7 linked regions of the Macaca fascicularis genome follow. The protein of the gene in region 2 interacts with the protein of the main gene of each other region in a pairwise test. Links are inferred from orthologs where the notes say so. Each region holds a gene or a part of one and is shown on either strand. Other genes may lie near its edges. The genes, in order: ARHGEF7, GIT1, PFDN1, PPFIA4, RGS2, HMOX2 and UPF0488 protein C8orf33.

Evidence for each region.
Region 1: the proteins of GIT1 (region 2) and ARHGEF7 interact in binary tests that used the Homo sapiens proteins (3 or more experiments, as listed by UniProt). The link is inferred for Macaca fascicularis from reciprocal best matches to the Homo sapiens genes GIT1 and ARHGEF7.
Region 3: the proteins of GIT1 (region 2) and PFDN1 interact in binary tests that used the Homo sapiens proteins (3 or more experiments, as listed by UniProt). The link is inferred for Macaca fascicularis from reciprocal best matches to the Homo sapiens genes GIT1 and PFDN1.
Region 4: the proteins of GIT1 (region 2) and PPFIA4 interact in a two-hybrid assay, tested with the Homo sapiens proteins (2 studies listed by BioGRID). The link is inferred for Macaca fascicularis from reciprocal best matches to the Homo sapiens genes GIT1 and PPFIA4.
Region 5: the proteins of GIT1 (region 2) and RGS2 interact in a two-hybrid assay, tested with the Homo sapiens proteins (2 studies listed by BioGRID and IntAct). The link is inferred for Macaca fascicularis from reciprocal best matches to the Homo sapiens genes GIT1 and RGS2.
Region 6: the proteins of GIT1 (region 2) and HMOX2 interact in a two-hybrid assay, tested with the Homo sapiens proteins (2 studies listed by BioGRID and IntAct). The link is inferred for Macaca fascicularis from reciprocal best matches to the Homo sapiens genes GIT1 and HMOX2.
Region 7: the proteins of GIT1 (region 2) and UPF0488 protein C8orf33 interact in a two-hybrid assay, tested with the Homo sapiens proteins (2 studies listed by BioGRID and IntAct). The link is inferred for Macaca fascicularis from reciprocal best matches to the Homo sapiens genes GIT1 and C8orf33.

Annotation. Positions count from the first base shown.
Region 1 is NC_088391.1:101,803,508-101,807,007, reverse strand, and holds part of ARHGEF7 (rho guanine nucleotide exchange factor 7), read right to left. Parts: coding exon 3,423-3,500; intron 1,003-3,422; coding exon 778-1,002; intron 149-777; exon of another isoform or gene 26-148; intron 1-25. UniProt on the Homo sapiens protein: Acts as a RAC1 guanine nucleotide exchange factor (GEF) and can induce membrane ruffling. Functions in cell migration, attachment and cell spreading. Promotes targeting of RAC1 to focal adhesions. May function as a positive regulator of apoptosis.
Region 2 is NC_088390.1:35,093,513-35,097,619, reverse strand, and holds the start of GIT1 (ARF GTPase-activating protein GIT1), read left to right. Parts: upstream 1-1,307; 5' UTR 1,308-1,556; coding exon 1,557-1,608; intron 1,609-4,107. UniProt on the Homo sapiens protein: GTPase-activating protein for ADP ribosylation factor family members, including ARF1.
Region 3 is NC_088380.1:146,792,533-146,796,579, reverse strand, and holds the start of PFDN1 (prefoldin subunit 1), read left to right. Parts: upstream 1-1,247; 5' UTR 1,248-1,258; coding exon 1,259-1,291; intron 1,292-4,032; coding exon 4,033-4,047. UniProt on the Homo sapiens protein: Binds specifically to cytosolic chaperonin (c-CPN) and transfers target proteins to it. Binds to nascent polypeptide chain and promotes folding in an environment in which there are many competing pathways for nonnative proteins.
Region 4 is NC_088375.1:60,837,525-60,841,670, reverse strand, and holds the start of PPFIA4 (liprin-alpha-4), read right to left. Parts: upstream 2,801-4,146; 5' UTR 2,662-2,800; intron 1-2,661. UniProt on the Homo sapiens protein: May regulate the disassembly of focal adhesions. May localize receptor-like tyrosine phosphatases type 2A at specific sites on the plasma membrane, possibly regulating their interaction with the extracellular environment and their association with substrates.
Region 5 is NC_088375.1:50,401,426-50,405,383, reverse strand, and holds the start of RGS2 (regulator of G-protein signaling 2), read right to left. Parts: upstream 2,801-3,958; 5' UTR 2,767-2,800; coding exon 2,657-2,766; intron 1,664-2,656; coding exon 1,562-1,663; intron 1,460-1,561; coding exon 1,398-1,459; intron 832-1,397; coding exon 665-831; intron 411-664; coding exon 216-410; 3' UTR 1-215. UniProt on the Homo sapiens protein: Regulates G protein-coupled receptor signaling cascades. Inhibits signal transduction by increasing the GTPase activity of G protein alpha subunits, thereby driving them into their inactive GDP-bound form.
Region 6 is NC_088394.1:5,289,478-5,293,736, reverse strand, and holds the start of HMOX2 (heme oxygenase 2), read right to left. Parts: upstream 2,801-4,259; 5' UTR 2,706-2,800; intron 1-2,705.
Region 7 is NC_088382.1:154,739,316-154,743,097, reverse strand, and holds UPF0488 protein C8orf33, read right to left. Parts: upstream 2,654-3,782; 5' UTR 2,631-2,653; coding exon 2,625-2,630; intron 2,537-2,624; coding exon 2,225-2,536; intron 2,059-2,224; coding exon 1,974-2,058; exon of another isoform or gene 1,904-1,973; intron 1,825-1,903; coding exon 1,678-1,824; intron 1,107-1,677; coding exon 967-1,106; 3' UTR 501-966; downstream 1-500.

The sequences.
Region 1 (3,500 bases), on a different chromosome or scaffold from region 2:
ATACTCGCACCGCCACTCCTCGTACCTCACCACCATGCACGCTCAACTGCTTATGAAAACAACGCTCATCTCAATTATCGGCTTCCTCAGGTGAAAATATTTCTCAGAACACATTTCTCAAGACGCTTCCTTTCCTCATCCAAGCTGGCTTAGGGGAAAGTATAAGAAAGTGTTAATACTTATATTTATTCATTAGAATCGTACTTTATTTGCACCTAGCAAATACAAAAATGCTGGATCAAAACACAGACAAGCAAAGACTGTATCATGATTTCTTATGCATCAAAGGGGGAAACTGCCTAAGTGTTTTTTCATTTGTATTGGTAAACGTTCTCTTCCTTTCAAATGGCTTCTGGATGACAAAACGCAGGGCTCCTGGATAGGATCCCCGACCTAGAGGAGGGGTTGTTAGACGCAGCAGACAGCATGCAGACGCCGAGCGACGGCCTCACACACGGGGAGGGAAAGTCACCTGGGCTCGGCGCCTTTCCAGCTCCTGGCCCCCGGCGGCACATTCCTCCGGCAAGCACAGTAAAGGCCCCCTCTGCATGGCACAGACAGGAGGGGCCCTGCACATCTGCACATCCCCTTCCCACACAGGGTTACCACAGGCCTCTCAGCAGCAGCGGAGATAACCGAAGAACCAAGGCAGACCCCTTCTCAGTTCTCTAGCAGTTAGGGTGCATTTTGCTGCGTACAGAGGGACCAGCCCGGCACACTCGGGGCCCAAGGCATGCTCACCGGCGTCTGGCTGTTTGAGTGGTCAAGGGACCTCACCTCCTTGTAGCAGAGGGCAGCGGAGGGCCGGAGGGGAGGCGCGGGCCGCAGGCAGCTCAGGCTCCAGGGCTTGGGTGTTTTCGGAGGCTCCAGGGGTCCCCAGTTGATGGTGGTGTGCGGGGTGCCGTGGTGGGAGGGGTGGGGGAGCGTGTGGTAGGCGGGCGTCAGCGGCGCGGGCTTGCTGTCTGCGTGCTTGCTGGACGGAGTGACCGGGTGGGAGGGCAGCTGCCGAGGGCACAGAGCGGGAAGGGCAGAGAACGTGAGACTTGCATGCTCACCGTGAAAGGGCACTATCACGCACTTCCTTCCGCTCTTTAAACACTCCATGTGAAATAAACCCCAGGATTTATCATTTATCATTTCGTTCGAATCTCTGGCTCTCAGTAGTTTTTGGGGCCAAGCACCAGCTCGCGCCACCTGGGCTGAGCATGGGACCCCCCCACGGTGTCTGCCCCAGACGGGAGGGGCAGCTCTAGCTGGCGCCCCAGCACTCGGACATCCACTAGCCACATTTATTAGCTACGGAGTAACATTAACAGAAAAAAAGGTACTTTATCTAGTAAAAAGATGAGAATTTCACAAAAGCACACAGGGCATGTGGCTGTAAGAAGGAAGGTGATTCCCCCCGGTCACGTATTATTCTTCACCTGGTGATGAAGTACTGGGTGAAACTAAGGCCCAATCGCCTAGTTTTGTTTTTTAAAAAAGTTTTCCTGGCACACAAGCAGGCCCGTGCCTGTCTAAAGCTGCTGCTGTGTTACAAGGGCAGAGTACAGCTGCAAGAGGCCTGAGCCTGTAAAGCAGAGAATGTTTACCATCTGGCTCTTTCTAGAACACTGCCAAACCCTGGTATAAAATCAGTTATTTTCTTAGAAAACTCAACTTTAATCAAAACAAAGTTAATTGAAAATTAACTTCTTAGAGGAGGTATGTCATTAATGAATTTTATATTCCTGGGAAACCCGAAATATCCCATCACAATGACAGTTAAATGAGAAAAGTTAAGTAAGTCTCAAAATCAGCCAACAATGACTTCAAATTAGCCAACAATAGTAAGGCGCGTTTAATGGGAGAACAAGCTGTGTGGCGCTGTGAACTGGAAACCTGAGTGGGGTCGGCATTCTGAAGTACACGACCTTCAAAACAGGCTGAGAGGGAAGGCCCCACAGCAGCTAATGCCACAATTTCAAGAACAGACGCCATCAACTTTCTGCAATGATCACATTCTAGTCCCTGCATGGGGGAGGGAATCGTGTGAGATACAGGTCATGCTATGAAGCCACCGTAACGTCATCTTTTCATAGGAAATAATGTATAGATGGAGAAAATTATGTAAGACATCCCTCCTAGCAACAACGTCAGAGTTAAGTAGTGTCTGGTTTTGTTTCTCCTTTCTTGAGAAAGTCAAAGGAAGTATGCTTTATGCTAAAATTAGAATATGACTTCAGTTGGACAGAGTTAGATCACAGGAGAATACATCATCCCACAAAAGAAACTCTGTAGGAGAACGCAGAACATTTTAAACATGAGGCACAGTGCCTTCCCCGCCACCAGTGAAAGAAACACTAAGACGGAGGGTCTGGCCGCAGAGAAAAGCTGACTTGATGTAAAATTGTATGAAGTAGAGTTTCAGGCTGCTGTTGAAAATCTGAGTGAAGCAGCTCATCCACTGTTCTTTATAAACACACGTGTACACATGTCGCTGGGATAAACTGATCTCCACGAAAGAATGGAGAATTTTAAAACGGCAGAGCCATTAAAGATGAAATGCTAGCTAAAAGCCAATGAGTAGTTATCTGCACACTGCTGAGAGAAATCAGATGGACTCTGAAACTGATGAGAATATCAGAATACAGCAATCCTTCTTGATCTACAACCTTCCCATGAAGAAGAAAACATGAAAACTGAGCACACGACAGAACTGATCCTAATAACCTAGTAAGGATGTGAGGGAATCTGCAAGCTGAAAATGCCGTGTCATCGCCACTCATTCTTTAAAAGCTCTGCCCAGTTTTTCGGTATTACTTGATAAAGATGACGACTGTTAAAACAACCCGATACCAACTTCTTGAGCAAAAAACACCAGGAGAGGTTTAAACACTGCAACCGAATTCAGTGTTCATCTATTTTGAAAAGTTGTAATTCTCTAAAAATTCAAAGAGTTGCTGAGCTTTTCTAAGTAAAAGACACCTCAATTTCTTAAAATCAACAGTGTGTCATAAACTCTATTTTAATGCCTTCAACATGAATCTGGCCCTTTTCATCATCATAATCATTTATTTTCGTTTTCTTAAATGAAGCATAATAAACAGTTAAAATTCTCAGAAAAATCATCTATAGTTTAGTGTAAAACTCCCCTAAATTAGTCTTCTAAGGCCACGCTGAGCAAAAGCAGCTTCCCACCCAAGCACCTCTGAATTGTGCGTGAGGAGGCACAATTCAGGGTTGTTTCTCGAGAACACTCATTGGAAAACAATTCACTACTGCACAAAGAGGGCCAAATATTTTCAGAGAAATATCAAGCAAGCGTTTGCATTTTTATCCCAATATTGATCAGGTTTTAAAGCACGTGATCACTTGCTGACAGCTCAGCCACGGGATGCCACGCCTGGAGTCTGGAAGGAGAAGAAGCGCCAGGTCCTTACGGTATGAGACGGCACCGAATGAGGCTTTATGGTGGGGTTTCCCACAGATGTGACCTTCGTTTGCTTCTGTAGGTGGTC
Region 2 (4,107 bases):
ATTTTTTTAAGGTGCAATTATAAATAAAGCCCATGGATCGCGATTTCAAACAAACTTGTCAATCCGGGCCGCAGCAAAAGGCGATGGAGGCAGCTTTGCATGTATTTCGGGTGGTGTGACTCATGAGAATTACTTGTCTCCCCTAGGGAAGGAGCCTGCCCACCCACAAGTCACTGCCGCTCTGGCACCGCTGGGATAAATCGACCAACTTGAGCACCCCTGCCAAAGGACTGCCCCCATCTGTTACCGAGCAGGAGTCTCTGACTTCGATAACCCCTCCTCAATTGTCACCACTGACCTGGCCCCCAGGTCTGGCCCTGGGGACCTCTGCCCTCTCCCCACAAGCAGAGTGCCCGGGCCTTTTGCTGCTGCAGGGATTGGGGGTTGGGTGCACGCGCGGCACACGTGTATGGGGGAGCATGCTCAGTGCGGGGGCTGTGCTCATGTGAGGCCTCCAACTAGGCTCCCTGCCCCCCAGCCCACCCACGTCCCTCACCTGCCTTGCCTTTGCCTGCCTCTTCGTGTGAAGTCCAGGAAGAAAGGCTGTCACCTGAAACGGCCCCTCTGTGTTATATGCACCCTTTCTGGACGCACACACCTCTGGTGGCCCAGAAACACCGTGTGTATAAGGCGGATGACAAGTGGATTTGAGTGCACACAGGCACAGTGGTCACTCCTTGGGAGGTCTTTAAAAACCGCCCAGATTCCTCTCTGGATGGAAGCATGCATGGAGAGATAGATATATTTTTAGTCCAGAGGCAGGGGAATACACTGCCTGACCTTTCTAGCACCTGGGCGTCCATATTGTTGGCAATGAGCGTATTCAGCAAGAGTGTGACACACGCACACACACCTGGACACACAGATGTGGACACCTACAGGACCGGGAGGCACACCTCACCCCAACCAGAGATAGAAGGGTACCCCAAGGCACAGCCCCTTTGACCTGGAGCGGGACTTGGGCCTCCAAGTCCTTCCTGCCTAATCCCCGCCCTCGCCATCCCTCGGCCCAGCGTCCCCCAGGCCACCCCACGCGGAAAGTGAAGGGGAGGGGGCTGTGAGGGTGACTCACATTGCCTCCGGGCCAGGCGAGCGCCGCAGCGGAGGCCAGGACCGCAGGCCCCGCTGCCCGCCGGGGCCGGGCATTAGCCGCGGCCCCTTTAAGCGCCCCCGCCCCCTCCCGCCCGCGCCCGGGCTTCCTTTCTCCAGGGGGCGCGGCCGGGAGCGCGCGGCGGGGCGGGGGTGCGGCCCCTCCCCTGGTGGGCAGGGCCTGCGCCGCTTCCTGCAGGAGCGGCCCGGAGCCGCGCAGGGGGCGGAGAGAGGAGTCGCGAGCGGCGGCGGGGCGGCGTGGGGCGGAGGGCGCCCGAGGGCGAGCGGGCAGGCGGGCACGGCGGGTTCCGGGCCAGCCCCGGGGCGGACGGTTGGCCGGGCGCGCGGAGCCTCGCCGGGGCCTCGCCGGAGCCGGGCCGGGCAGCAGGGGCCGCCGCCGCCGCCCGGGCCCGCCGCCCGCGCCCCCCACGCTGGCCCAGAGGGCTGCGGCCGCGTCGCCGCTGAGGATGTCCCGAAAGGGGCCGCGAGCGGAGGTGTGTGCGGACTGCAGCGCCCCGGGTAAGCGCGGCGGGGCCGGGGGCGGGACCGCACAGCCAGGCCGCCGCCGGGCGGGCGCCGGGGCCTGGCGAGAGCGCCGTGCGGGGCCGGAGGGCTGGGCTGGGCTGGGCTGGGCGGGGCGGGGGGCTGCGGCCTCCGGGCTCGGCCCCCGCCCCGGCCACTGCGGAGCCGCGTCCTTGGCGGGAGGGCTGTCCTGGGGGGCCCATGCTCCCTGGAGGCCGTGGACGAGCGAAGAAGGACGTTCCCGGCGCTGCCTCCCGCCCCTCGGTCTGAGGGAGGCGGGCAGCTGGCTGCCCCTCCACCTCCATCTCTATCCGACGGAAGCGCCAGCCTGGGGTGGCAGGAGGGCAGTGGCGGAGGCCGGCAGGGCTTGGGAGGTGGGGGCGAGTGTGGTTTTGTGTCATCTCAGTGCCACCCCCGCGTCTTGCACCTGCTGCTCGCGTGGTCGGCACGCCTGCCGGGGTGGTGGAGGGCAAGGAGCAGAGGGCCGGGCAGATGCGCCAGCGGGGCCTGGATACCGTCTCCTCAGGAGCAGATGAGCAGTGGCTACTCCCAGGACTCCCTGCCGCGGGTTCCTAAGGCTAGCGCTTTTTTGCGGGGCCTGGCGTTCAGGGCCAGTTCAGACCCGGGTGTCTTATCGGGAGGCATCACCAGGCCTGCTGGTGGTGACTGGGAACAGCTCGGCTGGACCCTGCTGTTCCTATTCACCGTAAGGCCCGCTTGGGAAAGTGAGCTTGGCATCAAGCTATCCTGGGCCCCGGCCCCTCCCTGTCCCCTAGCCCAGTCTGGCGAGAAATGGGTGGGAGGCACTGCCTAGATTCCCCGCATCCTGCTGGCTTCCTAGCCTGCCTCCTGGCTGTATTTACATGGTGGTTCTCTTCTTTTTCCTAACAGAGTCAGGACTGGGCTGGAGTGAAACCCCCCAGGCCTGCTGAGGAAGTCAGGGGTAATGATCCAAGAGTCTGCTCCCTTCTGATGGGGGAGGACAGCCAGTGACTGGGCTCTGCAGCTGGCCTGGGAGGGAAGCTCTAGCCCCCATCCATTCTTTCTTTAGAAAAGGAGCTATCTCCCTAGTAGGCCCCTGGGCAGGCTTCGGAGGTCTGTGAACTCTAGCGGGGCTGTGGGCATTATTAAGAGTGAGATTATGGGGTGCTGGTTTGTGGGTCCATAACTTTCAGCCACCCCTTGAGCAAGCCCAGGACCCCACAGGTTGAGCCTCACAGATGCTCTGGTGGTTCTGGGGGTGGTGCCAAGCTAGACTGTTTGGGAACTGTGACCCAGCAGGGCTTGGGCACAAGATACTCTCCTCCTTGGGGCTTTTGGTTTAGAGGGCCCTGGGGTTGAGGGTCCATACCCCTAAGAAACTATGACTCCCTTCCCCCAGCTGCAGGCAGGTCTGGGGATGGCAGGGCTGAGGACACACCTTGCCTTATAAATGTCTGCCCACTGTTCCGCACCTCCATGGGGTGAGCATGGCATGCATGTGGAGGAGAGGCTTAGCAGGCACCCTATCGGGGAAGCCTGGGGCATAGTGTTGCCTTTGTTCCCAGCTTACTCTGTAACCCCAAAAAGACTTTCCTCACTGTGGGGGCCTCAGTTTCCTTAATTAGGAGGCAAAGAAATTGGAGTAGAAATGGTTTCTGGGGGGGCTGTGATCTGATTCTGGGGTGGAGGGGTGAAGGGCAGCACCAGCAAGGCAGCAAGGCAGTTGTCCTTTCTCTGTTGCATTGAATGTCATCCAAAGCCTCTGGATGCCCAGTGGGCTCAGGGAGGAATGGTGGGCATCAGATGTGTTGGATTGCCCAGCTCCTACTCCCAGGTCCTCATCCGTCAGAGGAATTTGTGCCCCAGATGACTCTTTTCCCCTGATACACAATAGAGGTCAGGAAGGTGGTGAGAAGGTGAGGATGGTAGGGTGGGGAGGATATGGACAGTCTTACACATCAGCCCACCTAGCACCAGCGAAGTGTCCAGCACATGGCAGGCGCTCCCTGAGTGTCTGGCTTCTTGTCGGGACCCTGGCTGGCTGCTTGGGACTATCCCACACCTGGACCCTAGGATGCTGGCCCTGGCATGCAGCGACGTGTTTGGTCTGGGTCCTGTGGCATCTCAGGCAGAGAGGCATGAGGGTACCCAGCAGTCTGGAGTCCAGATCCAGTGCCAGCCCCATGGTGTATCGCTCCACCCCAGGGTCACAGCCTTCTTTTATTGTGATAGGAGCCCTGCAGTCCCAGCCACAGGAGTGGGGCCAGGGACTTTTTGTGCTTGGTTAATTTGGGGAGTCATGGAGGTCAGAGGTGAGATGCAGCCTGCTCCCAGAGAGCCCCATCCTCCCTCTGCTCCCGGGCCTGGGCACACGGGACAAGTGCGAGTGTGTTGGTAGGCAACTGGACATGGTGTGGCTGCTCTGGCAGCTTGTGCCACCTTGTCAGGCACCGTGTGCATTCCTGCCTGCCTGGGGAGTCCAAGAGAGGAAGGGGGCAGGGAGCCCTGGAGAAT
Region 3 (4,047 bases), on a different chromosome or scaffold from region 2:
CCTGTCTCTACGAAAAATCCAAAAATTAGCTGGGTGTGGGTGGCGCGTGCCTGCAGTCCCAGCTACTCAGGAGGCTGAGGTGGGAGGATTGCTTGAGCACGGGAGGTAGAGGCTGGAGTGAGCGGCGATTGCACCACCGCACTCTAGCCTGGGTGACAAAGCAAGATCCTGTCTCAAAAAACAAACAAACAAGCAAACGTACCAAAAAACAAAACAAAAAACCAAAACCACAAAATATCCAAGTGACTTGCTCAAAGTCACACAATTAGTAAATGGAACCAGACATAAGCTAAAGGTGGACCAAGCCTTGAATCTGGATCAGGCTGGTTCCAAATTCCCTGCCCTTTCATCTCCCTAACAGTTTGTTTTGTTTCTCTCTCTTTCTCTTTCTTTTTCTTTCTTTCTTTCACTCTCTTTTTAAAAAAAAAATAAAATAAATTTCCTAATTGTTTATGTAGCACTTTCTCTTAGCATAACAGTTTTTAGAGTAGGTAAACATTTCTTTTTTTCCATTTCCAAAAGTCAATTATTATCTATTCTTCTGGTTCAAATGCCAGGTCCTTTTATGGCAGAGATTCTCAAAAAAGTGATCCGCAGAGGAGTTGCACCATTAGCTCACTGGGAGAGTTTGCAAAAGTGCAAATTTCCAGACCCCATTCTCAAAGATTCTGAGTAAGTTTGAGATGAGACCCAGAGAACCTGCATTTTTTTTTTTTTTAAACAAACGTATTCAGCCTCTCTTTTGAACCACTGTGCCTAGAAAGTCTTTGGGAAGCTTTTGGAAGTAGTAAGTTCGTCTTGGAAAGAACACTCCAGACAAGCTTTCCGGTAGTCTTTCCCAAACTGTCATGCCTGAGGTTCTGGACTTATTCTTACTGATCCCTGACAGCACAGCGACTAGCTGAAGGATTCTGATCGACTGATGAGGGTTTGACCTCATCTACATACATCCCAGTTTAGCAGCATATACTAAGCTAGCTGGCAAACTGCTTAAAGCCACATGGGAAATCTGCGCGTTGGGCTATGTCTGGAAGATGTGGAGGAGCAAGCCAGACCTGACCGGTCAGATAGTGGAGACACTGAATCCGAAACCCAAATATTTCAGGGGTTAATCAATTCTCATAGAAAGGTAGGAAGCCCGGTTAGTCCAACTCATGCGCAGGCGCAGAAGAAGGACGGATGCACAAAGTGAGGCGCGCCCTTCCCCCACCCTCTTTCAGGCCAACTCCCACTGCGCAGGCGCATACAGTGCACCAACATGGCTGCCCCCGTGGATCTTGAGTTGAAGAAGGTAAAGGAGGGTCTTGGGCAGGCGGAGGCCTTCTCTTTGGAGGCTGAGGGGACTATAGGCAAGAATATCGAGTGAGGCACGAGCCTTGCATAAGGCAGGAGGGTCCAGTGGACTAGGGAATGGTTTTCCAGAGTCCTAAGGCCGCACTGCGTCTCCGTAAACTGGGGTGGGGGGCGAGCGGCTCTTGCTGGGTAGGAGCCGGTTTGGGTGAGGTAAGTCTGCGGGCCTATCTCGGGCCTGTGCAGTCTTTCTGAGCTCTAGAGAGCTTTCGTTGCGTTTGGAGGCTTCAGGGACTCACTTTCATAGTAAGAACCAAAGAGAGCATTTCAAATGGGGGTGCCTTCGGACCCCTTGCCTGAGTTGTGGCATCCGTAATTCTGCCTCATTTGCTTTGAAAAACTCCAAGTCCAACCTTTGTTTTTAGGCCGTTTATTCGGTTCTATACCTTGAAAGGTTGCGGTATCTACAGTTCGGAAAACCAGGCATTGTAACAGCAATGTTCATTTCAAGATTTGGGCCCTCCCCTTCTTTTTAAGGACTTGTCAAAAAAAACAAACAAACAAACAAACAAAACAAAACCTTCTTTTGAAGGACTTGTCAAAAAAACAACAAAACCAGTAAAGTTTTCCAAATAAAACCGGTATCAGAAGGAATTGGGTTTCCTGCTTTCCTCAGTTGCTTATAATGTGTTGTTACTCATATTTTTGCTGTCTAAGAATGATCAGCATTCTAACACCACTAATGACCCCAAACCAGTATGCTTTGTGCGGTGGGGTGGATTGGAAAGGACTCTAGAATTTATCTATTTTAAATCTACTTTTCTAGAAAAGGAACCAGTGCTAGAAGAGTCTGTCAGAGGTTGGGACTAGAATCCAGTATTCTCTGTCTTACCTCACACCTTTTTTGTTTTTTTTTTTTTTTTTTGAGACAGAGTCTCGCTAGTGGCGCAGGCTGGAGTGCAGTGGCGCGATCTCGGCTCACTGCAAGCTCCGCCTCCCGGGTTCATGCCATTCTCCTGCTTCAGCCTCCAGAGTAGCTGGGACTACAGGCGCCCGCCACCTCGCCCGGCTAATTTTTTGTATTTTTGGTAGAGACGGGGTTTCACCGTGTTAGCCAGGATGGTCTCGATCTCCTGACCTCGTGATCTGCCCGCCTCGGCTTCCCAAAGTGTTGGGATTACAGGCGTAAGCCACCGCGCCCGGCTACCTCACACTTTTTTGACCACTATTTTGGATTCTTCAGATGAGCAACATCTTAGTTAAGACTGTCTCTCTGGTCAACTTGTGCAAAAGAAATAGGACAGCCGAAATAGCTGTTGCTTCTAACAAATGAAGCTTTTGTTATGGTTCTGAGGATATTATGTGTTTGTGTCTTGCTTTTGTTCTTGTCTTGAATCTTGTAAATTTAGCTCTTAGGTGGAATTCCCTCATCTTTAACGGTGTACTAGCTCATCTTTAACGGTATACTAGCTTCCTTAGCAAGCTGTACAGAGCAGTCAGATAATACCTGAAATTTTACATTTCAAAACAAAATTGTGCATTCTAAAAATTTACCTTTTTTTAAATTAAAAGTACCGATTTAAATCAGGATTTAGTGAATGGATTTTCCTCCTGGTACTTTTGAATTTGTTGCTACATTTGAAAAATGTGGACAGTGAATGCAAACTAAGAAAATGATTACAAACTTAAACTGAATAATTTTGACAAATGATTAATTTAAAAACTTGTTTAAAGGTTTTATCTTCTAATGTTGTTACAGGGTCCGTTTTTTGGGTGGAGACAAATAGGACATTTCAGGCCCCTCCCCTTCTCCAAAGTAAATCTTTCAAAATCTTACTAGTAGGTGAAAACAAGGTCACAATAAAAATTATGTAGTAACCTTTGCTGTACATTGCAGTCACAAATTATTAAGGCACCAATTTGACAGCATATGAAAGTCATTCCAGGCACTTCAACAAGAGTATCCAAGAACTGTTTATTTTCCAGTTAACTAAGTGTACGCAAGGGTCAAATTTGGCCTGATGCAATTATTTTGCCAGTGCTTTGCATTTTTTCTATCTTTTTGGTCTTCCTCTTAAAAATGTTCATATTATGAATATTACTATAGACAGTGGAATGGAAAGATTGCTAAACTAAGGGGTTAGAAGAAATGTCTTTAAATACACCTCCCTTTCCCTCTAATAGTTGTTCAAACTTGTGCAAGCCACTTTTATCTCTTAACTCATTTAGTTACTTAATTTGTAAATTGTGGATGATGAAACTGCCAATGCTAACTCATGGCATTATTGAGAGGCATAAATTAGATATTATATTTCCTCATTAATATTCTTATATTAATATTCCCATATTAATATTTCAAACTAATGTGAGAAAGTGCTTTGAAACCTAATTGTGCAATACAAATGTAGTGAGTTATTACTTTTATGGTTCTTGTTTTGAATCTCTGGGTTTCATCCTTGACTATTGCGTTTATTTCTTTTACTACTCCTTGAATACTTCTTAATATGGTTATTATTTAATGTGCATTTGTTTTGCTTCACACTGTTTGTATCTTCTGATGATTGTAAATTCAGTATTTAGTATAGTGACTTGATCGTTTACAATTATGTTGACTTATTGATATTTGGTAAATTTCACAACTTTGTCTCTGGCTAGCATGTTTTGTTTTAATATATTTGGATTTGACATAAATGTTTCCTGTAAAATGTTTAACCTACTAAATCATGGACTTGTTTTTATTAGGCCTTCACAGAGCTT
Region 4 (4,146 bases), on a different chromosome or scaffold from region 2:
GGGGATGGAGATACCTGAAGGAGGCCCTGAGGTTGCAGCACCCGAGCCTCTCTGAAAGCAGAGCAATGAGCTGGGCAGCAATCGTGCTTCTTGTGCCAGCAGCCAGGCAACAAGCGGGGAGGCCTCAGGCTCAGCCCAGCCCTGGAGTCTCCTGCCATCCTCGCTTAGAGCTCCTTCCCCCACTGCTGTTTCCCCCACCAGCGCTGTCCCTGTGACATTCTCAGTTGCCTCAGGCCCCTCCCAGTACAGCAAATGCAGAGGGTCCCCTAGAAGCAGCCCCTTCCACAGTACATCGAGGACCTTGGTCCCTCTGAATCCTCCACTCTGCTGGCCACCCGAAGTGCCACGCTCCTGTGAGCCAGCACCGTATGCCCTCCAGAGCTAATTATAGGTCAGTGAGCTAGCAGGCCAGAGGGGGACAGATGGTGACTTCATGTGGCTGCAATACACACTTGTCCCTCCCTCTGACCCCACTCCCTCCCCTCCATTTCTCTCAATTCCCTATGTGGGACCCAGACTTTGAGGCAGTTTTCACTCCCTCAATCCTCCCTGCTCCCCACCACTTCTCCTCTCCAACACAAGCACAAGCACACACACTCACGCATGTGCACACACATGCACGTGTGCACATACACGCACACACACTCCTCCATACCACTCAATTGCCATGCCTTGTTTCTACAGCAACTCACCTATGGAGCCAACACAGTAGGGCCTAAAGCCCAGGGGAGAATGTCCTTGGCATTCGAAGGCCTCGGCTAGCCGCCCGTATCTTAAAACCCCCTTAGCACCCAGCTCCCTGGCCCTGCTGAGCCTTCATCCCCACCTCATCACCACCACAGCCTGACTACTCATTCTCTTGCCTAGCTCTAGCTCTGCCATCCTCGGAGGCTCCATGAGGAACTACAAGCCATCCCTGACAACTCTTTTCAACTCTTAAGATTTCAGCAATCAACTCAGAGACAAGACCCAGGAGCCTGGCTGCCTGCCATGCCCTGCCCCTCCAGCCCTCCTTTACAGCCCAGCAGCCAGACCTCATGCACTGCACAGTTCTGACATCATGACATGCTCAGCAGCACAAACCCCAACCCCACTGGATAAGAATTCCCTTCCACGCCCTCCTCCCCCACACTCTTCCATCTTCCAGAGATGGCGTCTCCCACAACGCAGAGTGTCTAGGACATTCTTGGCCCCCAATAACCATTTTGTCATTCACTATCTCCTTACTTGGAGATACCATTTATCCCAGGAAGCCTCCTCAAACCTCAGGACAAAATCTGAGAAAATAACCAAGGAAAATCATTCAAGCTGCCCTTTTGCTTAGGCAGCTTCCCTGGGACTACCTGGCCAGTTAATAGTGGTAGGGGGTGTGTAGGCTACAGTCTAGTTCAGACAGCTGCTTGAAAGTACGTGGACACAGTTCTTCCTTTTCCTAATCCAACAGTAATGTAACAGAATGGGGGTGGGGGGTGAGGGAGGTGTTAACAGAATACCTACTATGTGTGCCTACTATGTGTACCTTTCAGCTGCTCCGTGGCTGTAAATTGCCTTCAGAAGACCTAGCACCGAGCATAGTATCCGGCAGATAGTAGGTGTCCAATAAATGTTTGCTGGATGTTGAACAAAGTACTAGGTACCAGATCCAACAACTCTGGAAAGGACTATGGGAAATCCCCGGAACCTGGCTCCTGGAGAGGACCCTTAAGCGCACACCAGGAGGGGATCTCCCTGCTAAGCAAAGGCTCCTTAACCACTTGCTCTCCACACAGAACGGCCTCAACTCTTCCGCTCCTCTGACGGAAACTACCAGCACACCTCTCCTCAAAGGTGACATCAGCGCCTAGTGGCACCTTGTCCTGGATCCCTCTTCCTTCTCAAAAAAAAACCACCTACACCATGTCTCCAAGTCCTCCAACCCGACCTCTCTCTTCCCACCCACCATCAAAACCTCAAAATCTGTGCTAGAAAACATCCCTACTGCGTGGACGTAAGTCAGCACCCCACTCCCACCCTCCAGTTCAGGCACCTCTATTCCAGCCCTCTTTTCCTGTTGCGCCCACCCCTGTCGCCACCCCCACCAGGCCTCGGGTTGGCCGCTCCTTCCACCCCACCGCCCTGGCACTGCGGAGATGGGGGCATCTCTGGCACAGACTGAGGCTGGCAGTTCGAGGAATGGAGAGCTAGCAACAGGAACAGGGGTGCTATGAGGAACGCGGGAAGGATTAAGACCCCCGCGAAGAGCGAAGACCTCAGCTCCTCAGAAGCGCGTCCCCAAAGGAGTGGGGTTAGCCTTGGAGCCGAGAGGCGCTTTTTCTGACTCTCCTGGAGGGGAAATGGGAGCGCAGTCTGCTCCGTTCCCACCGGGAGACTCGCCAACTCGGCCCCCTCCCCCGAAGCCGATGGAGCAGAGGGCGCACCCCACACCCTCCCCGCAGATCGGGCATCGCCCCCATCTTCACCCCCAAGGGCACAGGGCACCGCAAAGGCTGGCGAGGGGCGGCGGGGGGGAGCCGTACCGACGCCTGCCGGAGACAGCACATGGGGAGTCAAAAAGGGCTGTTTCCTGAGGCACGATAGACGAGACCCCTCCCCAAACTGTCGAGGGGAGTTGGAGGTGGGGAAAAGACGCATCCTACCCCAGTCCAAGCTCTGGGCGCTCACCTGCCTGCAAATGCCGAAGGCCAGGCAGCTAGGCTCGGAGGCAGCAGGGAGCCGCCCCCGACCGGTGCAGACCGACACGTCCTAGAACCGAGCCGGCGCCGAGGTAGCTGCAACCTCCGCCGCCCAAGCGCCCGGCCGCGAAGCCCCGCCCCCTTCCTCCGTGGACAACCCCCCAGGCTCCGCCCCCTGGGCGGGGCCGGGATGCCGCGCCCGAGGCCACGCCTCCCGCCCCCAAGCGCCTCCGGTCCCGGCACGTGACAAGAGCGCCGCTTTGAGGCTGCGCGCCATCTTGGTTCAGCCTCGGAGGTGGCAAAGTGCCAGGGTTTTACCCTGCAGGAGGGTCTCAGGTCACAGGAGTGCTGCCAACATTCTGCCCCCTCCCTCTGAACTCGCCCCTGTTCCGAGTCTAACAGCCTGTTCCCTAAATTGGCCTTAGTCTCGGCCTTGTAATTGTTGTCAATAGTTTGCCACCTTTCACACTTGCTCTCTCCTGCCCATTACTTGCTTTTCTTTTGATCGCACCCGTTTTTTAAGTGGGGAAACTTGATATCCAGATACTACATCTGTAGTATGCAGTTCAGTGAATTGTGTCGCTTGCCTTCAGGCACCTGGCTGTTCTAACACTGTTACTACAAAATGGTTTGTCTATTACATATACATAGTATGAAAACAAGTCTCAAATGCCAGAATTACTGACTGACAAATTTTAGCTAAGCCTCTCCATTTTCCTGAATTGCTCCCTTACCCTGCCCCCTGTGGCTATTAATGCATCTTTTCCATCTGCTTTGTGAAGTTTCATCACAGTGTGCCTACTCAATCCTTTACCAATACCCAGTAAGCACCACTAAAAGTGTGAACAATTTCTATATACATGCAATGTGTTCACGTGTATGTATTTATAGACATATACACAGCATGTTCTGTATCAGCAGCAAATGCCATAGCTGAGATCAATGACACATACAACCTTCTCTCATTTAACTTCCACCCTATATATTCACCATTTGGCATAATTTCCTTGCGTCTCTTTGAAGACAGGGAAATCTGGGTAATTCTGATCTGAGGGGTGGTAAGTGAAGCTAAATTGGTGACTTTGAACAACACAGCCTTCAACTGCATAGGGCCACTTACATGCAGATTTTCTTCCTTCCCCGCCACCCCTGAGACAGCAAGACTACCCCTCCTCTTCTTACTCGTCAGCCTGCTCAACATGATGACCCACTTAATGAACAGTAAAGATATTTTCTCTTATGATTTTCTTCATAACATTTTTTTCTCTAGCTTATTTTATTGTAATAAGGTATATACTACATATACAAAATACACATTAATCAACTGTTTGTGTTATCAATAAGGCTTCCAGTCAACAGCAGGCTACTGAGTTTTGGGGCAGTCAAAAGTTATAGCAGATTTTCAACTGTGTGAGAGGGTCTGCATCCATAACTCTCACAGTGTTCAAGGGTCAATTTATGTTGCTTGACTGAC
Region 5 (3,958 bases), on a different chromosome or scaffold from region 2:
TGCGTTCTGTACACAGTGAGAGAAGCTGTTCTGATACCAGCTTCTCCTAGTCAGTTACTGGCTTCCTGATTCACTACCCAGCTTTGAATCAATAGTTCTGAGCGATGTTTCCTGAACACCCAGGCTGAATTCAAGGTCAGTCTTTATGGCAGGTCAGTCTTTCCCCTTAGGAAAAAGAATGAAATGTCCTCCATTTCTGGGCTCCCTTTTACATTTCATGTAGCATGAGGCTCTGTGGTGATTTGAGGCTTTTTACACAAGTCCTGGTAGAATTCTGACTCCAAGAAACGGGGATAAGAGTTGTTCTCCATCAAGCTGTATACCCTTTTCTGGGCAGTTGTGAAGCAGCCACTTGTAGCTTCTTGTATATTCTGGGCAATCAGAGTTTTGGTTTGAAAATCTATGTTTATCTGAAATAAAACAAAAAAGTTGTTTATTTGGTGTTCAGAGTTAAAGATTAAAATTTAGTATTTGAAAACAAAAAATAAAAATTATGTGTGATTAGCTTTACTACCTAAGTCACAGAAGAACTTTAACATAACTGAAAGCTACAACGTGGGGGGACTTTTTACCCCTCCTTCTGGCCCCACTTTGCCCTTATTTTGTTTCACTTTTGTGCTAAAAATGTCCAGATTGTGCTCAGTTTAGGAACTTGTTTCCTTACCTCTTTTGGAGCTTCCTTTTCTATAAAATCAGTATATATTTTCCTTGCTTTTGAGGACAATTTTTGGGGTGATTTGGTTTTTTTGAAGTCTTCACAGGCCAGCCAGAATTCAATATTTTCTTCACAGAATTCCGACTTTAAAAAAGCCCTGAATGCAGCAAGACCATCTGAAGGGGGGAGAAAAGAAAGCATGCAGAATGTGAAGAACCGAGTGACCAAATGATTCTTTATGTTTCTCCTAGTACTTCTCCCTCACATTTTAATTATTTCTAAATGACAGCAATTTTCTAGATTTCGCTTAAACCTGTAATTCTCAAAATTTAGCTTTTTAAAGACGAAGATACCAGTAGGCAAAATGCTTATGTTGGCCCTCTGCTGCAAAAATATAAGTACTTTGCTGTCAATGCAAAGTAAATATTTATAGGGGAGACATAAATTCTCTGGGAACTAAGCCTCTTGAAAACATTGTATGCAATGGAAAAACTGACTCAACCTTAACTATAAGCAACTGCCACTTTAATTTTTTTAGGCTGATTTTCTTCCCCACCTGGAGGAAATACATGCATTTATTTCCATGGTTAAACCCTGGGAAATAAAGGAGAGAAAAACAGGCTTTATCCAATAGTGACTGCAGTCTAATCCCCCTCAGGCAAGCTGCTCTTTTGTTGTGTGGACCCAGCCTTTGCAGGCTTTTGCAATATTAGCAATGGCTAAAGTTCAAGAGTTAACTTACATTTGCTAGCTAGCAGCTCGTCAAATGCTTCTGACCACAGCTGTGCTTCCTCAGGAGAAGGTCTGCAAGAGAGGTTCTGCATGTTAGCTTATGCACATCAGAGTTCCCCTTTTCAGTTCAGCAACTAACTATTAACATTTGCAAGTACAGGATTCTCAACTTACTTGATGAAAGCTTGTTGTTTGCTTTTTTTGCCGGTTTTGGGTTTCCCAGGAGTAGAGGAATTTTGCAAGAAGTAGCTCAAACGGGTCTTCCAATCTTTTAAACTAAAACAAACAAAAAAATTTAAAAAAGATAATCACTAAGTAGCAACACTTGAATATGCTACTGCAGCTGAACGCATTTTTACCAAATAAAGTCACCCAGTAACTAGAGACAAACCGCATAAGGCAAAGCAAGAACTCTTCAAATAACAGTCTTATCCACTTAACATTTAAACCTCATGTACTGAGCAGTTTCATCCATTAAACTGATCGTATCTACTAGTTTTACAACTAAGGGCAGGGCTACCTACAATCACTAGGGTATTTTAAAGAATTGTTAATGAATTTAGTTCAAAAGGCAGATATTATTTCTGGCTTACAAAGGGCATCAGTTTGTTTGCAAGGTTAATTACAATTCCGAGGGGTTTTACAATTTAATGAAAAGGACAGACGTGGAACTGTCTGGAGCCGGCCCACGCTTCTCTCTTTAGAGCAAGAGGTTCTGGAGCATGCCAGAGACAGTGTACAAGGAGGTGGGTGACTGATTCCCCTGCGCTCTTCCTTCCCCACCTACAACACTTCTTTTAAGCAGACGCTGCAGAACAATTATTTGTTCCACATTCATGACTGGATGAGATCTGCTCTATAATTAAAAAACAAAAGTGGATTTTAAACGAGTATATTCACAACCAGCAAGAGCATCTCCTTCCAGGAGCTGTGTAAGCTGATGAGAACTCATCATGCAACGTATGCATGCTGGGGACGCGCTTCAGCCGCAGGATTCTGATGTCATTTTGAATGCAGGAGGACAAAAAGCCAACCCGCAATTTCTTAGCGCATCCACCACCGCCCTCATATCAACTATCTCCCTCGGTTCCTAAACTCTACCCGAGCATCACCCAGATTTAACCTTAACAAACTGACCTTTTCGATTTTTTTTTTCCCCTGCAGAGGCTCGGGCTAGTTTCCTAACATCAAAGCCGAGCCCAAAGTACCGCGTTTGCAGCTCGCAGTGTGTGGCAGGGGTGGCGGGAGAGGGAAGAAAGCCATACTCACAGGGTCCGTTTCATCTTTTCCCGCTTCTCCTCGCTCTTGTGGCCGCTGCCAGCGCTAGTGTCCATAGGTCTGCAGTCGTGTTGAACAGCCAAGAACATAGCACTTTGCATTATCGTCCTTCCGCTGGGGCCGCGGCTGTTGGCTGCTGGGCGTGCGTCGCAGCTTTTATAAGAAGCCGCGACTTGGGGGCGGGGCTTCGCGGCTCCGGCCCCGCCTCAAGAGGACGCGGATTGGTTGGTTGCAAACGGGCACTGGGATGGGGGTCAGCGCCCGCCAGCGGCAGTCTCGGTTAACGCCGAAGGGTCTGGAAGCCAGGGCGCTGCTGACGTCTGCGGCCCGGGCTTCTTGCGCACTCGGACTACATAGCAGCGGCCAGCTGGGGCCGGCGTGCGAGCAGACAGGGACTTTTCAGTGTGGGCTGTTGCCCACGACCTTTTGCTGAAGCGTGGCGGCCAGGCGGGGGCTTGCGGCGGAGGGAGAGAGCCGAAGTTGGCTGCGGCCTGGCGGAGGCTACGTCGCTCCCTCACCCACCCACCCTGACGGGCTCCCCAGCCCCAGGCCAGAGCGGCGATTCCCTGGCAGGAGGAGGTCGCCCGCCGCGAGGCCGGAGTTCAGTGGCCTGATTTTGAATGAAGAGTGGGATTTTTCTTCTTTTTTTGAGCGCGTTCCCTGACCCCGCGCCTCATTTCTTGTTTGCTGTCCTACTGTAGGGACTCATTCGACACACCCTGGTCAATGAACTGAGGCTACGGGAAGACCCTCCCCCGTTTCTCTCTGCCACTTAATTTAAGGAAGGTGTAACCTGAAACGTTGACTGCCCGGGGGCAGGGTGGGACCTGCTCTGCAGCTTGCTGGGGCGTCTTGAAACACGTTGGGAATGAACATTAGGGATTGAACAAGAGAAGGTGACTTTATCAGAAGACAGTGCTTTAATTGGATTTGCATTTTTGATCACTACTAGGCAAGTGGCTGGGTCTGTCTATAGGGTCATTCCTCAGGAGCCCTTGGTCACATCTGCCAAAATGGAAATCACAAGTTTCCTTATGGTGGGAGAGAAAGCTGGAGACACAGATATTTCAGAGCTGTAATGCACTAGAATCATGAGTTCAAGGAGTCAGGATTTCCTCATGAGTCATTCTTGTTTTGAGTTAGGATTTACCAGAACTTTTAATAACTGGCAAAAAGTAGGGGGAAGGAGGAGTTAACAGTTTCCTTCATTAAGTTTTTTGTTAATTCTTCAAGTATCATCTCTACTCCTGAAGGTTTTAAAACGACTTGATTGGTAAAAACAAATAGATTACC
Region 6 (4,259 bases), on a different chromosome or scaffold from region 2:
CGCTAATATAATTTTTTTTTTTCTTTGAGACGAAGTTTCGCTCGTCGCCCAGGCTGGAGTGCAATGGCACGATCTCAGCTCACTGCAACCTCTGCCTCCTGGCTGCAAGCAATTTTCCTTCCTCAGTCTCCCGAGTAGCTGGGATTACAGGCTACTTTTTGCAAGGCTAATTTTCGTATTTTTAGTAGAGACAGGGTTTCACCATGTTAGCCAGGCTGGTCTCGAAATTGCAAGGCTAATTTTTGTATTTTTAGTGGAGACGGGGTTTCAACATGTTAGCCAGGCTGGTCTCGAACTCCTGACTTCAGGTGATCCACCCGCCTCGGTCTCCCAAAGTGCTGGGATTACAGGCGTGAGCCACCGCACCCAGTCTAGGTCAAGTTTTTAATCTGTTTTCTCTCCAAGGACTTAGAAGCTGAATTTCAAATTTTACACTGAAATACACAATTCTAATTTTTTTTTTTTTTTTTTTTTTTGAGACAGAGTCTCGCTCTGTCGCCCAGGCTGGAGTGCAGTGGCCGGATCTCAGCTCACCGCAACCTCCGCCTCACAGGTTCAAGTGATTCTCCTGCCTCAGCCTCTCAAGTAGCTCAGATTATAGGCACGTGCCACCATGCCCAGCTAATTTTTTTTTTTTTTTTTTTTTTTTTTAGTAGAGACAGGATTTCTCCATGTTGGTCAGGCTGGCCTCTATCTCCTGACCTCAGGCGATCCACCCACCTCGGCCTCCCAAAGTGCTGGGATTACAGGCGTGAGCCACTGCGCTGGACCCACAATTCTAATTTTCAAAGTATATCACCCTCCTGGAGGAGTGATATTCCAGTTTTGGGTGCAATCCTGATGTAGAGCCCAAATGTCCTGTGAAGAGAGTCAGCTGTTAAAAGGAAACCAAAAAATCAAAGTAGCTCTAGCTGTCCAATTTTACAAGTTTTCAACAGATTTGATGGGGGTGAGCTAAAGGCAGTCAATGCTTTATTGTCTGTAACTCATTGGCACTGGCATTTCTAGAGTTGCTCATGTTCCCCCTTTTGGTGACTCACAGCATTTCAAAATGTTGCCACAGCAAAGGAAAAAAGGAAATCAAGTCAGACAATGGAGGAATCACAGGATTTCCCTCTTCACATCCCCATTTAGATGAGGTCATTCAATGAGTGTGTGTGTTTCCAAGGCTCTACAAATTCCCACACCCTCACCAGCGTTTAAACCTAAATGTTGTCTCTGATAACTTTTTCTAATTTTACCAAGTAAGCTTTTATATGTCTTATTTAACTGTGAACTCCTGGTAAGCACAAATTTTGTCTTGTGATATTTATTTTTTCTTTTTTGAGACAGGGTCTCACTCTGTCACCCAAGCTGGAGTGCAGTGATGCGATCTCAGCTCACTGCAACCTCCACTTCCTGGGCTCAAGTGATCCTTCAAAATCAACCTCCCCAGTAGCTGGGATTACAGGCACGCGCCACCCTGCCCATTTAATTCTTTGTATTTTTAGTAGAGACGGGGTTTCATCATGTTGACCAGGCTGGTCTCTAAGTCCTGACCTCAGGTGATCCGCCTACATCGGCCTCCCAAAGTGCTGGGATTACAGGCGTGAGCCACCCTGCCCAGCCTAAGCTGAGTCTTAACACTGACCTCGTTTTACACGTGGAAAAATGATCAGCTCGCAAGGCTTTGCAAGGGGCTGAGAGGAGAGGGCTTCCTCCAGTGGAAAGTATTATGCAGTGCTTTTTTTTCTTTTTTTGAGATGGAGTCTCGCTCTGTCGCCCAGGCTCTGCCTCCCAGGTTCAAGGGATTCCTGCCTCAGCCTCCCGAGTAGCTGGGATTACAGGCATGCCCCAACACCTCAGGCTAATTTTTGTATTTTTAGTAGGGACGGAGTTTCACCATGTTGACCAGTCTGATCTCGGACTCCTGACCTCAAGCAATCCGCCAGGCCCGGCCTCCCAAAGTGCTGGAATTACAGGCGTGAGCCACCGCCCCGGCCCAGACGCGATTTAAATGGCATGACACAGGCAGGCCTCGTGCAAAGACTGCAAGGAGGTCCTGGCAGCTTCTGCAGGGTAATTAATGCACCCAGAGCACTGCGCTCAGAAGGTGACAGGTAAACCCATGTCCGGACTAACCGGCTACCCCCACACTTGATCCCTCCCAGTCCGACTCTGCTCCAAGCTGTACCAGGGTTCACTCGTGAAGTCACGACACCCACTCAAGGGGCACTTCCTATAGAGATAAGGGCACTGGAGGAAGGGCAGAGACCCGGCCAGTGCCAATAGCCCGGGAAGCCGCTAAGCCGGGCTCCAATCTCTGCCGGCATCCCCTGTCAGCACCGCCGACGTCCCCAGCTACGACCCCGGGGGTCACCTCGCCCAGCACGGCCGTGACGCTGGGAGGCGGTGGGCCCAACGGGGACGCCAAAGCAAGCCGCTCAGGCCTCCCCGCGCCCCCGGGGAGACGATTTTAGAGAGCGGCGTCCGGGGTTTCGCCCTCCCCTGACAGCCCCTCCACGCTCGTCTTCGTCCTTCTGCCCGGCCTCACTCAGCTTCCGGCCTGCCCGCTCTCCCCTCAGACCCGCGCCGGGGACGCAGAGGGCTGTGGCCTGGTTGAGCCCAGGTACGAAGGCCTGCACCGAGGCAGTGCCCGCGAAGGACGCGGCGCAGTCCGAGGAGCCGGGCGGAAGGAAGGCCCCGGGAGGGCGCAGACAGCTCACCTGCCGCAGGTCGCTGTGGCCCGTCAGCCAGCCTCCACTCAGCTTGCCCGTCAGCGACTCCCTCAGGCGCCGCAGTCCCCGCAGCCCAGCGGACTGGCGCGAAGGCCGGTGCAACGTTGGCACGCAGCGCGGGGCGGGGCCTAGGGAGGACACGCCCCTTGTAGCTGACACGCCCTTGCGGGGGGCGGGAGGCGGAGCATGTGGCTTTCTCCAGGTGTCTGAAGGCTGCAGGCTCAGGCTCTGCTCAGCAGGGTAAGTAGGGGTGCTTCGGCAGGAACGCTAGTGTTCACAAGAGCCGAGGTGTGTGAGGGTGCCTCAGGGCTGAGCACTTTTCTTCCCCAGTGTGGTTTAATCCTTTTACATCCGCTCAGTGATGTAAGAAATAGGGTTGTCAATCGTGGCACCACCCACTTGCTCACTTGCCAATGCAATCTGCGAAACTGAGTCTCAACTCCGACACATCGGTTACCAGTCTTGTATCTGATCTCCCTGTTGCATTATGGGCATTCTTCTAACAGCAGCCAGAATGACAGAATGATTTTTTTTTTTTTTTTTGGAGATGGAGTTTTGCTCTTGTCACCCAGGCTGGAGTGCAATGGCGTGATCTCGGCTCATTGCAACCCCTTTCCCCCGGGTTCAAGCGATTCTCCTCCTCAACCTCCCGAATAGCTGGGATTACAGGCGCGTGCCACCACGCCCGGCTAATTTTTGTATTTTTAATAGAGACGGGGTTTCACCATGTTGGCCAGGCTGGTCTTGAACTCCTGAACTCAGGTGATCCACCCGCCTTGGCCTCCCAAAGTGCTGGGATTACAGGCGTGAACCACCATGTCTGGACTTTTTTTTTTTTTTTTTTTGAGACAGGGTCTGGTTGTGTCGCCCAAGCTGGAGTGTAATGGTGCAATCAGAGTTCTCTGCAGCCAGGAACTCCTGTGCTCAAGCCATCCTCCTGCCTCAGCCTTCCAAGTAACTTGGACTGAAGGCATGCACCACCACGCCAGGGAATTTTTTACTTTTTGTAATCCCAGCACTATGGTAGGCAGAGGCAAGAGGATTGCTCGAGTGCAGGAGTACAAGACCAGCCTGGGCAACATAGGAAGACCCCGTCTCTACAAAAAAATGTAAACATCAGTCTGAGGTGGTGGTGTGTGCCTATAGTCCCAGCCACTTGGGAGGCTGAGGTGGGAGGACTGCTTGAGCCTAGAAGTTCCTAGGCTGCAATGAGCTGTGATGGTGCCACCTTACTCCAGCCTGGGCAACAGAGTGAGGATATGTCTTTTCCAAAAAAAAAAGTCACCAGAGATATGAATATGAATACATAGCTCAGATAGGACGCAATGGCTGACTGCTGTATTTTTTTTTTTTTTTTTTTTTTATGAGATGGAGTCTCAGGCTGTCGCCCAGGCTGGAGTGCAATGGCGCAATCTTGGCTTACTGCAGCCTCCTCCCCGGTTCAAGCAATTCTCCTGCCTCAGCCTCCTGAGTAGCTGGGATTACAGGCGCCTGCCACCACGCCCGGCTAATTTTTTGTATTTTTTTTAGTAGAGACGGGGT
Region 7 (3,782 bases), on a different chromosome or scaffold from region 2:
CTCTAACCAATTAGCATAAAACACCTTGCTCAGGCCATAGGTAGACCCAATCATTTTGTGCCTTAAGCTTTGTTTAAATTTCACGCCATAAGCTGTGTTTAAACTTGTGTTTGCCTATATAAACAACCTGTAACAAGCAGTCGGGGTCCCAGGGCCAACTTAGAGCTTGGGACCCTAGCGCGCTAGTAATAAATAACTCTCTGCTGTGAATCTCGTGTCGGTAATCCTTCGCGGCAACCCCTGCCCAGGAGGGAATCGACAGTTCGGTTCCAACATGCCGAGGCTCAATCCAGGTCTCAGGCCAGAACTGTTAGGGCAAGAAGCTCCTTCCTCCTGAGAAGACAGCCATGCCTGGTGGCTGCCATGCTGGTTCCCTGAGGATGACACCTGCTCAGGAATGAAGGCAACATGGACAAAGGATCGAGGCAAGGGACTGGACCCAGGGAACCAGACCCCTGCCGTCTTCTGTACTTCCTCTAACACAGGTGGTCAGCACACTCTTTCACTCGTTATCCAATTTTATCAAAAATAAAGACTAGGGCAATGTGACATAACAGCATTAAGCACTAAACCATTTGACAGGAATTCCTTTCAAAAGTGAAAAACAGTGTATAATTATATAGCTTCTCCACTAATCTTTGTTACCAACAGCCACTTAATCTAATCCTAAAGACTGAGTACAATATTCTTTCTACAATACTTCAAACAGTCACTTCAATTTATTGTATATTTTCTAAATGCACCTCTCTCTGTTCTGAAAGAGAGAACATTTCATCACAAAACAAATGGGGTCTTTTGCCTATCTGATGGTCTCACACCTTCACAACAGCTCTAAATACTTGGACCAGCCAGGGACAGACCAACCCCAGGGTTCTCTGCCAACAGAAGTCCTGAAAAGGCTCTGCACTCAAAACAAACCCCTACACCACCCCAAGGGAGGGGGAATGTTCCAGGTCGGGGGAGAAGCTAAAAGAAATTGAACCGAAACTCTTCATCAGGAGTGTCCAGAGTGGCTTTGCTTCGCCCTATAGGGCGAGGCCTGCAGACCCTTCGGCTCTTCTTTCTGGTGGCTCCATCTACAGGCTGCACCTGGGCTAAATAAGCAGCTGTCAGGGGAGAGAAGCAGCGTATGTGAGAACTGAATAACAACAGCTAACATTACCTGTACAGTTATGTTTGCCCATACAATTCTAACCACTTTGAATAAATTAACTAATTCCTCAAATTTGTAAGGTTGATATTACTATCACCGCCCATTTAGAGAGGTTCAGTAGTTTGCAAAAGGTGTTAGTACTACTATGTGGTAGATCCAGGATTTGAACCTAGCTCATCTGGCTCCAGGAATTGCACTCAAACTGTTATGGGATATGGCTTCGTTGCCAGTAGAGAGAGCCAAGACACAAAAACATAACGCAGCTTTCCCCAAGCCAGGAGCAGGACCAACACAGGGTCACACTCTTTCCCGCTCCTCCCATGACCTCCCCGCTGCTTCCCAGGTTCAGTCCTGGGAAAAGGAGAGACAGGTCCATCCTTGCTCTTTCCCTGTTCCCTCAGGCTTCCCTGAGCTCATCTCCTTCCCCCACCAGCCTTGTTGCTCTGGGCCTTCTTCCTTTCACCCCCTAGGCACTTCCTCCTTAAATTAGGCCTTCCTAAATCAACCAGTTACTAGCTCCTCACCAGATCTGAGAGCCCGCAGGGCCTCACGCCATTCGGCTTCCATCTGAGCCCTATAGTCTCCAAACAAGGAGTGCATCAACTGCCTCTTCCGGGGCAGGGGCGTTCTTTTGCTGCGCAGGGTTCGGATTGCTCCAATAGCCTGCTCTTCTGCGAATAAAAACAAAGGACTAGTGAAAACCTCTACTACTGACCTCCTACCGCCCCACCGCAAAGGAAACAACTTCACCTCTGCCAGCACCTGCAGGCCAGGCGGTGCCACTCTTCACATTCCCCAACTCTATAGAAAGGTCCCTTACTCTGTTTTGGGGTGGGTTTCTGCCTCTTGAGGCCAAGCTCCAGTTGTTCCACACACCAAGCCAATTCCTGGGCCAACTGCTGCGCCTGTGACGGATTTGGGGAAGTGGCTGTGAGAGGGCACTGGGACACAAAACAGCGCCTGGCCCCATCCCATCCCCCTCCCCGCCTTAACTCTGCGGACCCCAGATCACATGTGCCCGTGGATTCGCACTAGGGGATTCCACCCTTCCTGACTGACGCCCGCCCTTGCCTGGGCCTCAGCGCTTAGGGGCACTTCTTCTGGGGCGGGTTTCTCTGAGGCCTTCTCGCCTCCATTTGCCACAGAGGCCCTGTTCCGGGTTTTCTTCTTATTCTTTTGTTTTTTCGACGCTGCACTGCCTTCATCGCCTAACGGGTGCGCTCTGGGGTCGGCGTTACTGCTCGTGGGTTGCCCTGGGCAGAGACAGACAGTGGAGGGATTCCGGACGCTGGAAACCAGGCCGGGAAGCCGGTGTCTGCGGGACGCGCAGGGAGTACCCGGGCCTGGGGCCGCCGCTGCCTCCCCGGCAAGATGTCCTAGGGCCTGGAGAAAGGGGGGCAGCACGAGGGTCACGGAGGGCCACCGACAGTGCGACGCCCAGCCACCCGCGCGTCTTCTCCACACCGCTCACCGCCATGCTCCGCAGTCGCCACCGGAACTACGCGAGGCGGAGTCCGACGTCGAATTCCGTCCTCCAAGAGGGCGCCTGCGACTCTAGGTTCCGCAGGGTCGCGGGCGGGGCGGGGCGGGGCGGGGCGCGGGGGCCCTGAGGGGAAGGGGCGAGGCTGGGGCGGGATGAAGCTGGGGCGCGGCGAAGGTGGGACGGGGCTGGGACCTGGCTCAGGCGAAGCTGGGACGGGGCTGGGGCGGGGCTAGGCGAGGCGGGGCGGGGGCGGGAAGGGGACGGGCGGGGAGAGGAGAGGAGGGGCTGGGCGAGGCTGGGGCGGGATGAAGCCCAGGCGAAGCTGAGACAGGGTCGGGGCGGGGCTGGGGCGGGGGCTGGGGCGAGGGCAGGGCGGGGCTGGGGCGAGGGCAGGGTGGGGCGAGGCCGGGGTCGGGGGTGCCTGGGGGATCCGGAAAGAGGCTGCAGGGCGGTCTCGCAAGTGCTCCCGGGCACCGACTATGTGCCCGGCACCTTTCCGGATAAAAGTTCAAAGCTCTACACAAGGGTGTGTCTTCTCAAGGCTCACCTTTTGGTGGGGAGGGAAAAGCAAGTAAACAGAACTTGAGCAGCTGTGGCGCAGGAGGGTGGTCGGCAAAGACCCCTGGGAAATGGGGAAGAGGCGCAGGCCTGGGACCCGGCGCAGCCCGCGGCGCTCGCTCCGAGAGGATCAGGGCACCGTCGGTTGAGAGGCCGGCGACGCGGGACGTGGGGGCTCGGGTGAGGTCTGTGAGTTGGGAGGTTTACTTCCGTTCTAACGCAGTGGGAAGTTGCTGCAAGATGTAAATCTGAAGAGTGGCATAATCGTAGACGTGTGTTCTGCGGTTCTCTCTGCTCCTGTGCAACGAGTAGGGCACATGGGGTGGAGGGATGTGGAGGGATTTCAGAAGCAGACGCGGGAAGAGCCTTGGACAGGATATGGGCGTGAGGGAGGGTGGCGGTATGGGGGAGAGGGAGAGGCCAATCCACCTCTCTTCTCCCGGATGCTTCCCTCCCACTATACCTTGCTGGAGACCTGGGGTCACACACAACACTCGACCCCCGCCGATGGAGGCCTGACAACTGAGAGGAATTGCGTAGGGGCTGAGGTGAGACTGAGTGAGGCTTCAGGAGCGGGCTAGGCCAGGA